Oryzias latipes: one gene and its partner. The main gene of each other region encodes a partner of the protein of the gene in region 2 in a complex. Links are inferred from orthologs where the notes say so. Each region holds a gene or a part of one and is shown on either strand. Other genes may lie near its edges.

Region 1 (7,589 bases), on a different chromosome or scaffold from region 2:
ATGGTGCCGGGTAAACACATAGCAGATACACTAGATAGCATGTTCCCTTCGTAGAGTGGTTCTCGAAGGGAGCAGCCAAACGGTCAATGGTGCCGGGTAAACACATAGCAGATACACTAGATAGTATGTTCCCTTCGTAGAGTGGTTCTCGAAGGGAGCGGCCAAACGGTTAATGGTGCCGGGTAAACACATAGCAGATACACTAGATAGCATGTTCCCTTCGTAGAGTGGTTCTCGAAGGGAGCGGCCAAACGGTCAATGGTGCCGGGTAAACACATAGCAGTCATACTGGAAAATGAAATGAAATGAAATGAAATGAAGTGAAAATGGAATGCTGCCGAAAACACACCTCATCTTATTTACACACTGATTATACATTATACATTTACATTTTCTTCTTCTTCTGGATGATCTTGGTGTTGGGGGTTGTTACCCGAAAGTGTATGGAAAAATAATTGTCTCAAGGAATTGAACGGAGCCTTATGCCAAAACGAAGTTGTGAATCAAATTGTGAATGTCATCCTAAAGATGTTGTGAAATAAATGTTCTTCTGCAAGAGTTGTCTGACTGAAATTACTGTTACTCTTATGATCAATATAAATAGGTTATTTGTGCAAACATAAAACAGAAATTAAAACTATCATTTTTTTCTAAATATCAAATATTTTATAACTTTTGACTGTGGTTAACATGACTACCTTTCAAAATAAAAGACATCCTGTGTCACATAGGATCATCTCAATGCAGCAAATGTAGTACTTGGTAGGGTTATATTAGTACCGGTAGTTATAAAAGAAAAACTAAGTACACTTTGTTATACCGTTGTTGGTGCATTTAAGCCATAAACTAGTAAACCCACTAACTAAATATGAGCTGATTAAAATATATTTTTGGACCACATGGTACACTTACAATCCTTATTTTTTTCAAAAAAGAAAATCTGATATATAAGCCAGTATACAGAATATATGAATTCTGGTTGATTTACTATGGTATCTAGCCCTCAAATATCTGTCAAACCGTTTTAGTTTGACTTTGGTCAACTTAACTGCTTGAAGCATCACGGCTATTGGAGTCAGAAGTCTCGAGGACTCGTTCACTGTTTGCGAATGAATTGAATAAAGTTTGACTTATCTGACTGTTCTGTTTTGCTTGATTTGCCTTGTAGTTTGAAAAATATGCTACTTTTTAAAATTAGAAACATTTTATTTTTCTTCAAGCAGAGAGGCACAAAGGAGGGGTCATAGAGGCTCTGTAGCCTCAGGTTGCAGACCTCTGCCCTAGTCATTCCAAAAGACTCTTTTGGTCGCTCATGTTTTCAGTTCTCTGCTGCTAATCAGTGGATTCACATGAAGCAGACTCTAAAGCTCAGTGCATTCATACCAGTGTCCACTTTTAGGAAGCCTTGATCCAAGATCCCTGAACATGTTATTAATCATTTGCCTCATAATACATGGCTGTAGATCATGTTGTTTTGACTGTCTGTCTGCTAACAGACAAGAAACAGAGAATCTGTACTCCTGTGGCTTTTCTCGTACCCATTGTTTTGGTGAATAAGACTATTTTTCTCATCCTGAAGATTTCTCAGATCATGATTAAGTAATAAATTTAACATGAGCTGTGTTTTTCATTAACTATAAAATTGCATTAATTGGACTTACGATAAAAAATGTGCCTAATGGAAACACGACAATTTTGCGTTTGGAGGAGGTGGTTTTTGATGCGTATCGATATGGAATAGAATGGAATAGAAACATTGTTTTCTAATTAAATGAGTCAGATGGCAATGCGCTTCTTGGTAGGAACTGGCTGCCTGGCACTACACATTGGCTTCCACAAGAGGTCCCACAGCATCACACAGCTCATCAAAAGTTGAGCGTGTCATGCTGTTGGATCCACAGCTCTTCTGTAAAATCACCAACCACCATTTCTCAAAAATTACTTCATCTGTAGCCCCTCCCAAGTGTAAAGAGCTTGTCACTCCATGGCTTGAATAAGACGCCGACGTCTGCTTTGATAGATAATGATGAGCGCTAGTGCGGTGGCAGAAATTTGAGTCTATCTGCTGTAAATCATATGCGTCACCATGTTTTTGAACAACTTATCGCGTGATTTGGTTTGTGTTTATTCGCATATTTTTGATTTAATGGAAACAGTGTAATTGCAAAACATTTCGGGAATTCCAATAAAGTTATCTTCATTGAGTATGTTTGATAAAGAACCAGAAAAATGGCGAACATGGTAGAACATTCACTGTAAGAGCACACTTAGTGGGTGTCAAGATGATCTTCTCTGGGAAACTTTTATTCAAGTGCAGAAAAACATGTTTAAATCTAATCTGTTGAGCCCCCCACTGTGGCAGCCATTTGTTGTGTAGAGTGCAAAATCTCAGCCATCAAAGTGTTTGGTTCTCCCCAGTGGGATCCAACTATACATATCTTCCGCCCACCTAACTTATGCGTTGTTACCACTCATATGGGCAGAGAGACCTTTTCTGAAGCTAGAACTGCTGTCAGAAAGCTGCTGGTCCAGATGTTCAGAGGGAACTTCTGCTCTGTCAGCACAGAGGATTGAGTCTGCCTGAATGCTGAGAGAAGTTGTGCCCAGAGATTATGTCATAGTTTTACCTCCCCACCTGCCCTCATCCCCAGACTCATCCCCTCCATTGTTTCCCCAGCTTTTAATAAACTAAAGGGCAGATTCCGGACTGCGGTGAGGGGAGGGGAGGGGAGGGCGCAGACCTGTCCTCTAGCCGTGCACACACAAACACACACTGACAGAATATGCACAAACACAGTTTGGCATGCAGAGTGCCAAGCTCCTCCACTGTCTACTGACGCCAACGCCTGAAACGCACACACAAACACGCACAAACTTCCTCTTTTGTACTCTCCTATTCTCTCCACGTGCCAACCTCCTAAAAGCTAAGCTCCTCACTAAATATATCCCCTTCGGTAAAGATAAGACAAACAGTGCGGATTTGAAAGCCGCGGACAGGCAGCCATGTGAGCCAGAGTTGAGCTTTACGAAGAAAGCTTCTGAAAACATCACAGGCATTTTTCTTGCAACAGAATAAAAATAAGATCCTCCTAATCTTTCTGGGTCACAAACACCTCACAGACACCTACTCTCCTGACTGAAAAAAAAGAAAAATTCCAGGGAATTTCGGAGCTGGGGGGCAAAAACAGTGTGTGAAACAGGATCAATTCTCATTAAGTTTATAGCCCGAGGTGAACAAGAGGAGGAGCTGCAGTTCTATCATTTGGGATCCGGCTCCTTTGGGCAGCAAATGTGTCACACAGTTGCTGGTCAGGGTTGTATTAAAGACCCACTCTGATCATCTTTGGATCAATTGTAAAAGCATATCTAATTGTATTTTAACTATCTTCAGCCAAAATAAAAAAAAGGACATAGTTTCTGCAGAGCTGCAGTTGTTTCTTTAGGAATTTACCTCTGAGTTTTAGGCAAGACAATTAGTGCACATTAAGACCATCCCCATTTCCCATCATCCATCTGTTTGCATCATTTCCCACAAGCTTCACACCCTCAACTTAACATGACTTGAGCAATAAAACTGGTGATCAATATCGGAACTAACTAGTTGTAACGTTTTGAGCCAGATTCCAGTTCAGATGAAGAAAACAAACATGTATACGTTTGTCTTTGTACTATTTGTCGTTAAGGATGCTTCGGAATGGAGCGGAAAAGGGAGCTTGTGCCCCGCCCAGTGTACTTTGTACATCACAACTACAAGCTTTTTCAAACAGCATTTTTTTGTCTGCTCCTTATTCACAGCTTTGAATGAATAAAAACTTAGAAATTAAGTTTTAGGATTAATTTTTCTCTCTATATGTCCTCCAATATGAGAAAAATGCCACAGGAACATGTTAAAAACACTAAAAACCCAATTTTCATGGGAGTGGATCTTTAAGGAGCTTGTCGATAGCTTGCAGTTCGTGCAGAGCATCCATTTGTCAGAAGTGCATTCCTACAGCGACACTGTGAACTTCCTATGAGAGCTTCAGAATTGTCTAAACAAATGCAGGACTCTGGTGTGTGTGAATGCGAAACACGAGAGCTCATGAAAATGAAGCTTGGCTGTGCCAGAGCATTGCTGTCCATCTGCACCTGGCAGCCATGTTTCAAACACACCTTCTTCCTGCTTTGGTCTCATTGCTCTTCTCCAAACAGTTCCACGGTGGTTTCATGACTCCAGAAAGTGTTTCTCCTCTGGTGTTGCCAGACGTACAATGAGATGTCTGCAGGGATGTTTGCATCACTTGAACTCACTCCTTTTTTCTCCACCACTGCTCTTTCCACCTCTCTCACACATCTCAGTTTCATTCCGTTTCTCCTCTTTATTATGTCTTTTTCTGACTCAGCCGTTCTCCTTCGATCTGAAGTTTCTTCCTTTCACTTACTAATTCCTCTGGGTCAATAATTATTAACCGAACCTTCATAGTCAGTTAATTTTTCATCTGAACACTTTCTCCTTTTCTACCCCCCCCCCCCCACACACACACCTCTGTTTTTCATCTTAAAGGAAGTCGTAGTCGTCTCCTCCTTCAACCTACCACAGAGTTGTATTATATCTGTCATCATTCTCCTTTCACTATAAGTCAGTGGTCTCAGGTCCCAACACCACAGGCTAAGTCAGTCATTCATTCAAGGACATAACAGAGCTGTGAAACACATTTTCATCCATACACACTCCCCACTGAAAACGCTTTCTGTCAATGCCTACTTAGCAAAGCCACCGGCGCCAACACAAACACGTTTCCTCTCATTACATACAAAGTCCCACTGTATCCTAATTGCAAACACTTGCAGTTCTTGGACTGCGGCTGAAGAGAGTTTTCACCTGAGTTCTGGAAAACAACAACTCCATGGACTCAAATTCTCCCATGGTGCTTGAAATGCAGAAGTGAAAACATGTTAGATGTACTGAAGGTGCAGGTGTGCTGATCCAGGTGTAAAACACCCAGAGTGGTGGTCCTACCTTCAGCGGAGAAACAGCAGAGTGGATTTGTCCTTCTATTGTTTCCCAGTCAGGTCCTCCTGTTTCTACCCCTCTCACACACTCTGGTCGTCTGAGCATGGCTCTCTCCTCCCTCTGTCTCACTTTCACCTCCTCCCCCCCCCCCCCCCCCCCCCCCCCCACACACACACACAGCCTCACTTCTCCTTCCTCAACAGGGAAATCACCAGAACAAGGGAGCAGCCCGGATGCGCTGCTCGTGAGGATGGTCTTCACATGTGGAGAGTGACAGAGCAGTCGTTTATCATGCTCCTTTTCTCTCCCCTTCTCCCTCGCAAACAAGGCAGCTGACACACCGACACGCTCCACGGAGGCAAATGGGAATTCCAGGCCTGGAAGCCCAGAGCGTCCCATCAGGGGGATGGCTGACCAAGAGCTGCAGTAGGTTTTATGAGGTCAGGGTTATAAAAGTGTTAACAGATTTAGTTTATGAAAAAACAACTGGTGCTTGTAGCCTTCCTCGTCATTCTGTCCCTCTACAAAAAAGGAAATAGGGGTCAGTTTAGGAGGACAGGAGTCAAATGGGAGGTGTTATAAGTCACCATGGAACTTCCTTCTTGATGTTGACTGTTGTTAGTTTTGCTGGTAGAGCTGCATTGCCCCATCACAGTGGGCTTCACTCAACAAAAAAGGTTCAAAAGTTTTAAATCTCGGACAAAAGTCAGGTTACTTTGCCAAACAATGCAGAAGATGAAATACAGGTCATCAATGTGAGACATATATAGCTCTCCTCCCTCAGACATATGTTCTCATCTGTGATCAGTTTTTACACCCTGCAGGGTGCATGTTTGTGGTACAGGATGCCTTTTTTTGAGGGTAGTCATGTTAACCACAGTCAGAAGTTATACAATATTTTATACTCTACAGAAGCCTCATCCATCATTCCTGCATGGATCAACAGATGGACACCAAAAGAGGGACAAACTGCTATCAATAAAAAACTAATAAAACTTTGAAAGTTGATGCTGTCACGGGGCTCACACCAGTTGCCAGATCGGTGTAAGTTACTTCAGTGACTTCAACCCGCAGTTTTGGGGTTGAAGTCATGAACTGAGGCTCTGGTTCAATAGTTTTCAAAGAGGCATGAGGTGCCAGTGATGACCTGAGCTCATAAACAAATGACAGTAACTCATGTCTTTTAGTTCTTTTTCATAAATTCCAATTTTTCAAAACTATCTCACAAAAGGAAAACTGATCTAAGCCACATCATACCAGTTCTTGTTTAAATTGATGGATGGAATTACAATTTTCTTTTCATCTTCTAAGCCATTTTGTCCCCTTTGGGGTCACAGGGCTGCTGGAGCCTATCCCGGCCTATTGTGGGCAGAGGCAGGGAAAATCCTGACAGCACCAGACTGTAGCAGGGCCACAATTACACACCCATTTAGGGATTTACCAATTAATCTATGTAGGTGGGAGGAAGCCGGAGTCCCTGGAGAAAACCTACAAGGGAGAACATGCAAACACCACACAGAAAGGTCCCCCAGTGATGTTTTGTTTCTGGACTTTAGCTGTGGGCTCTCCTGCTGTGAGGCAAGAGCACTAACCACTGCACCACCGGAATTAATTGAATTCACACAGAATTCACAGAATCACATTTGATTGCCTAAAGGATAAATGCGAGCAGCCCTCTTCTCACATTTCTGTATGGAAATAAAAAATTAAGATTAAAACTGTATTTCTTTATCAAATCATTGCAAATCAGGACCAGACAAAACAATTGCCTTTGTAAAAGATTGCAGTTGTGACGTAGAAAATACACTTGATGCTCCATTCTGATGAATATACTTGCACACAAATAGATTCATGTACAACATTGTTTTCCTTATCTGAGCTGGAATAATAATGAAAAGACCACAGGGAACGCTTTTAATATAGATCAAAAGTTAGAATTTGGAGGTTTAATTCTTCTCTGCTATAGGACCAAGAGTTTATTAAATTCTTTAAAAAAGAGCAGGCAGCCTTCCTAGACTTTAACAACACTCCTGTCATTTCACCACGTGTTCTTTGGGAAACAGCAAAAGCAGTGATGAGCGGGAAGATTGCTTCTTATTACAACATACAATAAATAATAAAGGAACACATTCTGAAAGATCGGAGGAAACTAAAGTTGAATTATATCATCAATTAAAATACAAATTTTTATGTTTCATGTTTCACTTTGTGATTCAAATACAAAGACTTTGACTTAAAAATAGGAGTCTGTGTATATGGGACATCGATGAGCAACACTGGTGCACCACAGGGAAATGTACTATCGCCTTTTCTATTCACACTCTACACTGCTGACTTTAATTATGAATCTGCAGCTTGTCATTTCCAGAAGTATTCGGACGACACTGCTATTGTGGCGTGTGTAAAGGGAGGGGATGAGAGTGAGTACAGGGAGCTCATCATCACCAGATTCACCTCCTATCTATCTATCTATCTATCTATCTATCTATCTATCTATCTATCTATCTATCTATCTATCTATCTATCTATCTATCTATCTATCTATCTATCTATCTATCTATCTATCTATCTATCTATCTATCTATCTATCTATCTA
Region 2 (6,506 bases):
TGACCCCTCAATTTAAACATAACTCAAATATTTTAGCTTACACTGCACTTTTAATGCCGACAATGCATTCTTTCCTTTATTTTTCTGCATGCTCTAGAATTCCGATTACGCATATTTTGGCAACTGATTGTCCAACATTTTCCTTTTCAGAAACATGGCTTCACTGTTTGATCAGGGGCAGGGGGATATTTGAGTTTTCTGTTGCTCCTTAAGCTTATAAAGAATAGGATTTTCATAAAAGCCGCAGACTTCATTGGAACAGTTTTCTTAAAAGAGCAAAACCCAAATGCCTGCATTTCCCAGGCACAGCAGGTCCTGCTCAAGGCTGACTATAGTGTGTACACCTGGCAGTGTTGCTTTCAATTTTACAAAAAAAATTGCCGCATCTATGACATCTCTCAATATTTACGCTGTGCATATTCCTATCGGCTCCAACACTTAAGTTATTATACATTTTTAGTGCATTATTCCAGCTTTAGAGCTGGTTTCCCAAACAAATTGAGGCAGTTAAAATCACGTGTACTAAGAATTCAAAGAAAATTTGATCAGTGGTTAAATAAAAAGATTTGAGGTCATAAGGTAATATTTTACTGCGATAATTCAGATTAAATGGTACGTTTGTATTTTTTTTGGAAACTGTGTCTAGTTGTTAGGTGATTCTGGGAAATTTCAGTCCGAACCTGCATAATATCTGCTCCAGTGTAAAAATTACAAACTTAAAAAAAAAGAGACAACAGCTTAAAGGTTTACAGTGTTCAGCAGCTCGGTTTGTTCTGCTGGAAAACTCTGGAGAAAAAAGAGACAGAGAGGTAGAGATGGTGCAGTACAGCTTATTGGTGGATCTTGTTTGCATATTGATACCACTGTTGTGCCTGTTCTGTCTCTTTTTCCTTTTCTTCGCCTCTCTGGAAGACAGCGGTCGAACCGAGGTAGAGAGGCTGCTGCTGCTGAAGCATGACTTGTTCGTCTAAGCTTCTCCTTCACAACCTCTATTAGAGGCACAGGGAGTGAAAGTCCGAGGGCTCGTGTGATGCCATTTAATCCAGTGGCACCATTGGAAACGTCCCACTATGGGTCACATTTTTACCCAACACCAATCTCCTTATACTTTCGATCCTTCATTGAACAGTTTTTTAACAGGAAGAGAGTTCAGCAGATCCTGTTTGCTGTCCATTCTCTCATGGGCTACCTTCTCACACGACTGTCTCATTTCCTTTGCCAGGTTTGATCCAGCCCTCTCCCGGTGCGCTCTTACCACCTCGCCCAACATGGCCTTCTCTGAGCAGCCGGGAAGAGCAGCGCTGCCATGTGTGGAGAGTCTTTGCCGACCAGATCCACATTCCCGACGTGATCCCCACCAGGAGTGACATGAAGATACGGAGCATCTCCGATGTCACGTATGAATCGTGGGTGCTGGTCTTGAACTCTCCCCAGTGGGAGAGCTGGTAGAGGTAACAGCCGATTACGGTGGATGCTGGGACGGTGTACAGTATGGAAAAGACGCCGATCTTCACCATCAAGCGCTCCAGCTTGTCTGTTTTGGTGCCGTCCTTCTGTAGATTGGAGCGAATCTTGAAAAGCGCCATGAGGCCCGCACAAATGAACAAAGTTCCTGTGGGAATGAAGACAACAACTGCAATGAAGACACAGAGGACTCAAAAATGAGTCGCATAACTTAGATGATGGGAATACAATTAAATTGTATCCATTGGGCTGGACTTACCAACGAGGAGGTAGGTGGCAAGTGGAGCCACCACGAAACCTGTGAGGGCCTCCTGCTGCTGGTTGCCGACATAGCACAGCCCTGTCAAGTCGTCTGCATCCACCAGCCTCATGATGAGTATTACAATGGTTTTGGCAGCTGGGATGGCCCACGCAGCAATATGGAAGTAGGAGCTGTGCATTTCAATGGCCTCGTGGCCCCACTTTAGCCCAGCTGCCAAAAACCAGGTCAGGGTCAGGATAACCCACCTGGAAGAGGGTGAAAGAAAGATCTTTTATCAGAAATGACCACAAGAAGATGGTTGCTCTGAATAAAGAACAGTAAATGATTTTGTCAGTGATGCTTGAGATTTTAGGGCCGGTTTCTCTTCCTTGTAGCTGCAATTGTTCGGTAATGTCACATGTTCATGGGAAGAACTTGATTTAGTACACCTGTTCACCTGAAATTCTTGTGGTGGTGGTTTGTGCATGGAGAGGGTGGGACGGTCCTGGTATTTTTTTGCTGGCCTCTTCATTTATCACATTTATCTGAAATGATTCCGGAAACCTTTGAAGATTTTGGTTTTTTGGCCATGAAGTTTTTATTTACTTTTGTGTGTTACAAACAATGGCAGTTCCCCACCAGGAATAATATGGGGTTCAGTGTCTTGCCACTTTGACACGTGGGTCGCCAAGGCGGGAACCAAACCTGTGATCTTTCAACAAGAGGTTGGCCGATCTACCTGTGCACCACATTATTTCTGAATGTAGAGATTTTAGATAAACGACATGCATCTAATTCACAAACAAAATAAAAACTGAAGAGATAGTGAGACAGCCAACTTGAATCCCACCTTGGACCTTTCTGTGTGGAGTTTGCATGTTCTCCCTGTGCATGTGTGTTTTCTCTGGGCTCTCTGGAGTCCAAAAACACTTTTACTGTGTTCATGGTGACTCACAATTGTCCCTAGATATGCATGTGTGGCCCTGCCACAGACTGGCAACCTGTTCAGGGTGTACCCCACCTCGACCAACAGTAGCTGAGATGACTCCAATAACCCCCTAAACCCAAAAAGGATTCACAATATTCTGAAAATGGATGGTAGCATGATGATTGCTGGGGCATCTCAAAGCTTTGCCCTTTGTGTTGACTGGTCATAGTCATAAAGGTGGATGACTAAAGTTGCTGGTAGTTCTCAGGTTATCACGACTGCAGGACTGCAGGAGTTTTGTGTCCATTTATGGAGAAGTGTAATATTTTTGGGTAGTTGTGATTTTCTTCAAACCAGGAAGATAAACAGGAAAACGGAGGCGCAGGGAAACAGACAAAAGTGCTGTGACAGCAGCAGGTTTCCACTGCAACTTTAGTGCAGCCTTCACTCCAAAGGAGACAAAGCTTTGAATGGGAAAACAAATCCACTAATACAGAGGTTATGGGACAGGATGAAGGTCTTATGTTCCACCATGAGACCTTAACAGCACTGCTTTGACAATGGAAAACTGTGACAAAAGGTTTCATGTGCTTAAACTAACCAAAGGGAGGAGGCCATGCCGAAGAAATAAAGCAGGAGGAAGACGATGGCGCAGCCGGTGCTCTTTAAACCTTCCTGTACTAGAACTGGCACTCCAACGGCATCCAAGTCACAAGAAACGCGCTCCCTCCCGAGAGTAAGGCGTACCTAAAAAGTCCAAGTAGTTGAGTTAATAACAGGAAAGGGAAAAGGTTTTTTTTTAGCATCGAGCATCCAATTACACATTTTTGAGTCATTTCAAATCACATGGACTAGATTCTGTTATTATAATGATACAGTTTGTTAAACATTGATTTACTTATATATATATATATATTTTAAGCAAGTTATGCTTGGTTTTGATTAAATGTTTTACATATTTAGAAAGTAAAACTAAACTATGGTGAAAACTAATAACCTTAAAAATTGGATCCATTGACCTTTTATGAATTATTGTAAACTTTTGTGAATGGAGATCAAACAAAATCCCTTATCTGGTTTATTTTTAATGACCCACTCAGAGGAAAATAGTGTTTTTGGTGTTTTTAACATGTTCTTATGGCATTGGATGGATTTCTTAATTCAAATTGGATGGATTTCTTAATTCAAATTGTTGTGAATTGCTAATGAACTCCTGTCGCTCTGAAGAATATATGTCCTAGAAAATGACACAGGTATTCTGGATAATATCTGCATAATTGGCATAATCTTAATTAAAAGAACACTTGGAATGCTTTGAAAATAGATCAAAAGATAATTGGAGTGGCTTCTTAAAATACACCTAGTTTTATTCACTCTTTTTTTATGTCTATCTAATCCTAAGAACTGATTCCTTAAGAAAAACCCTGAACTTACCAGATAGGCAACACTATATAGGTTGCAGCACATAGACAGAAAGATGATGGGCCTCTCAGGATACGAGAATCGCTGTGAGTCCAACAGAAAAGTCAGGACTGTCAAAGTAGTCGACAGGAAACACAGTACAGCCCACACCGCCATCCATGCATCTGTGAAGACTTTGGCTCCTCGCCGGTAGAGGCCATTGTCGTAGCCACACTGGAGTACGCAGCTTTCAGTCTGCTTGAGCCAAGTGTACTGATCGGGGGTAGAATCCAGGGCTTGACAGTCTTGGTCAGAAGGATGGTGGACCGATTGGTAGGGCGGGTCCTCGTCACCTGGACCCTCCATACACATGTGGTTGTGGTCGTTTTGTGGTGGGAAGCGGCTGCAGTTTAGTGCCTGAGAAAGAAACAGGAATTCCTGAGTGTCTTTGCTGTAAAAATGAAATGCGTTATAGACTTAGACTGGTTTATAAATTCAGCCATTCAACTGTTTATACAGCTATTTTCTCAAAACCTGAAAAATCCAGCAATTTACAGGAAAACATATCGTTAATAAGGCTGTTATTATTTATAGGTATTTTTCATGTCTGGTCAAATTATGTGTAAGTAAATATTGATATGAGCGAAACTCACCTCGGGCCATGTATATCCAAACTCAAGGAGAACCGGGAGGCATTTTCTCTTGACAGACAGACACATGCTCCCACACGGTCCGATGGGAATGGGAACTTTGTCCGTGCACATGGGGACATAAACTGAGCAGAGAAAAAACTGGAAAAAAGTAGAAAAAGGGTGTTGTCAGATTTTATTTTATTTTTGTCTTTGCAATACAAAATTCAACAAACTCTACTTTGCGAAAGCAAGGTTTAACAATTGTAGAATAATTTGTTTGCAAAAAGATAATTTACATTTTAGCCTGTAACATCCAGAGACAGTAAAGTCAGGTGTTTTTACTCTTTCTAGAAAAATAAATATGAAATGTTAACTGCACCGCATGCATTAGCATCTGGCTTATCTGAATTTTCATTCCACCGATTACTCAAGTTTTAAATAAAAAATCTCTTAAGAGATGGAAGCTTGCAACGCCACCAAAGAAAGGCCGTGCTGTTCTGTGTGTTGGTTCTGAAGCAAAGGGGAATGGGTAAAAGTCTTGCAGCCTTTGTCCAGTGATAGACAAACTGACTAGAGCCCCAATGAAGCAGGAAATGCAGAAGGAGTGAATGTTGGGAACAAAGTAGGCCTACACTTTAGTTTACCACTTCCACCATGTTAGCAAAATGAACATTTTACTTTTAAAAACCTCTGTTTTTAGGAGAGAGGCAAAAACAATTTTATCGAAATCAAGTCTCAAAGACATGGGCTTGAATGAAGCGGTTTTCTTCCTTAAGATGTATGGTAAACAGATGAACATTTGGGGGGCTGGTGTGTTTGGGACTCTGGACTTTTGGTGCCAGAGAAGTCCACAGATTAATAAAGTTGCTCTCTGAGTCAGTGGACTAGGAGGAGCCTCCAGCGGCAAACACTCGCAAACGTTTATACAAGTGGGAGATATTAGGTTTCGTGCAGTAGAATTTCTAATGCTTCCCACGGTGAGCCACGCATACTTAACCAGTGACGGTAATGTAACTCATGTAGGTGTTTCCCCCCCGATCCGTTTGTAACCTTAGTGTTGCCGCTTCAGTGCTAAAAGCTGCTCTGGGTTCCATTCAGGAAGCCTCCCATTAGAGCTGATGCTGGGACAGTTCCTGGCTCTCCTGACTCTCAGAGCAAAGCAGATTGTGTGTCAGGCAATCTTGCTGGTCAGTTTGCAACTGGGGAATTTCATGGTAAAGCCCCCACCCCCATTTATGCCTGCCTCATATAGTTTTTCTGCCAAGATATTTTCCAAACAGCTGCACACTAATAATCCAAACCCGGTTTCTGAATCTTCACATGATGCATGTGTGCGGAAATTGAATTTTTGTCATGTCACCAGTGAGTCCAAATATAGTCTAAAATAAAATTTCTGGTGTGGGGGGTGTAATGGATGCTTTTCTTTTTCTTTGCTTAAGTCAAACAAGCAACATTTGTCTGAGAAGACTGAGGGCAGCTTTGTAAGCAGGAAGACAGTCCTAAAGAATCAGCTGTTGCTGTGTGGGGCATGAACTCGGAATGTCAACAGACCCTCCGGGAGGGGATGGAGGGGGCATTTTCAATTAATTTAGCATGCCAGGCTGGTATGGGTGGGGGGGGGGGGGGGGGGCGTCGACTTTAATTAAAAAGATGGGAAACAGCAAACGTCAAATGCTGATTATTGCACTGTAAGTACGCTGGCTCCCTGTGAGCTGCGCACAGATCTGCCAGTTATTGCTGGTAGCTGTGGGTCATGTGCTCTGGTCCCCACACAAATCTATCCCAGCACGGTATGTGTGCGACTACACAAAATATAATAAAAGTAGTACCTTAAGCTGAC

Evidence for each region.
Region 1: the proteins of fzd4 (region 2) and ndp are in contact, whole or in part, in a crystal structure (PDB 5BQE), measured with the Homo sapiens proteins. The link is inferred for Oryzias latipes from reciprocal best matches to the Homo sapiens genes FZD4 and NDP. Residues at the interface, in NP_036325.2 of Homo sapiens: Ser51, Met52, Gln54, Asn55, Leu56, Gly57, Gln95, Phe96, Met105, Thr107, Lys109, Ile114, Asn152, His154, Met157, Cys158, Met159, Glu160, Gly161, Pro162; in NP_000257.1 of Homo sapiens: Asp33, Ser34, Pro36, Arg38, Met40, Arg41, His42, His43, Tyr44, Val45, Asp46, Lys58, Met59, Val60, Leu61, Lys102, Lys104, Leu106, Tyr122, Leu124, Ser125.

What each region holds. Positions count from the first base shown.
Region 1 is NC_019879.2:12,495,246-12,502,834, forward strand, and holds the start of ndp (norrin), read right to left. Parts: upstream 5,131-7,589; 5' UTR 5,000-5,130; intron 1-4,999. UniProt on the Homo sapiens protein: Activates the canonical Wnt signaling pathway through FZD4 and LRP5 coreceptor.
Region 2 is NC_019871.2:21,518,816-21,525,321, reverse strand, and holds part of fzd4 (frizzled-4), read right to left. Parts: coding exon 6,496-6,506; intron 4,826-6,495; coding exon 4,688-4,825; intron 4,452-4,687; coding exon 4,068-4,451; intron 3,381-4,067; coding exon 3,235-3,380; intron 1,972-3,234; coding exon 1,724-1,971; intron 1,613-1,723; coding exon 1,194-1,612; 3' UTR 1-1,193. UniProt on the Homo sapiens protein: Receptor for Wnt proteins.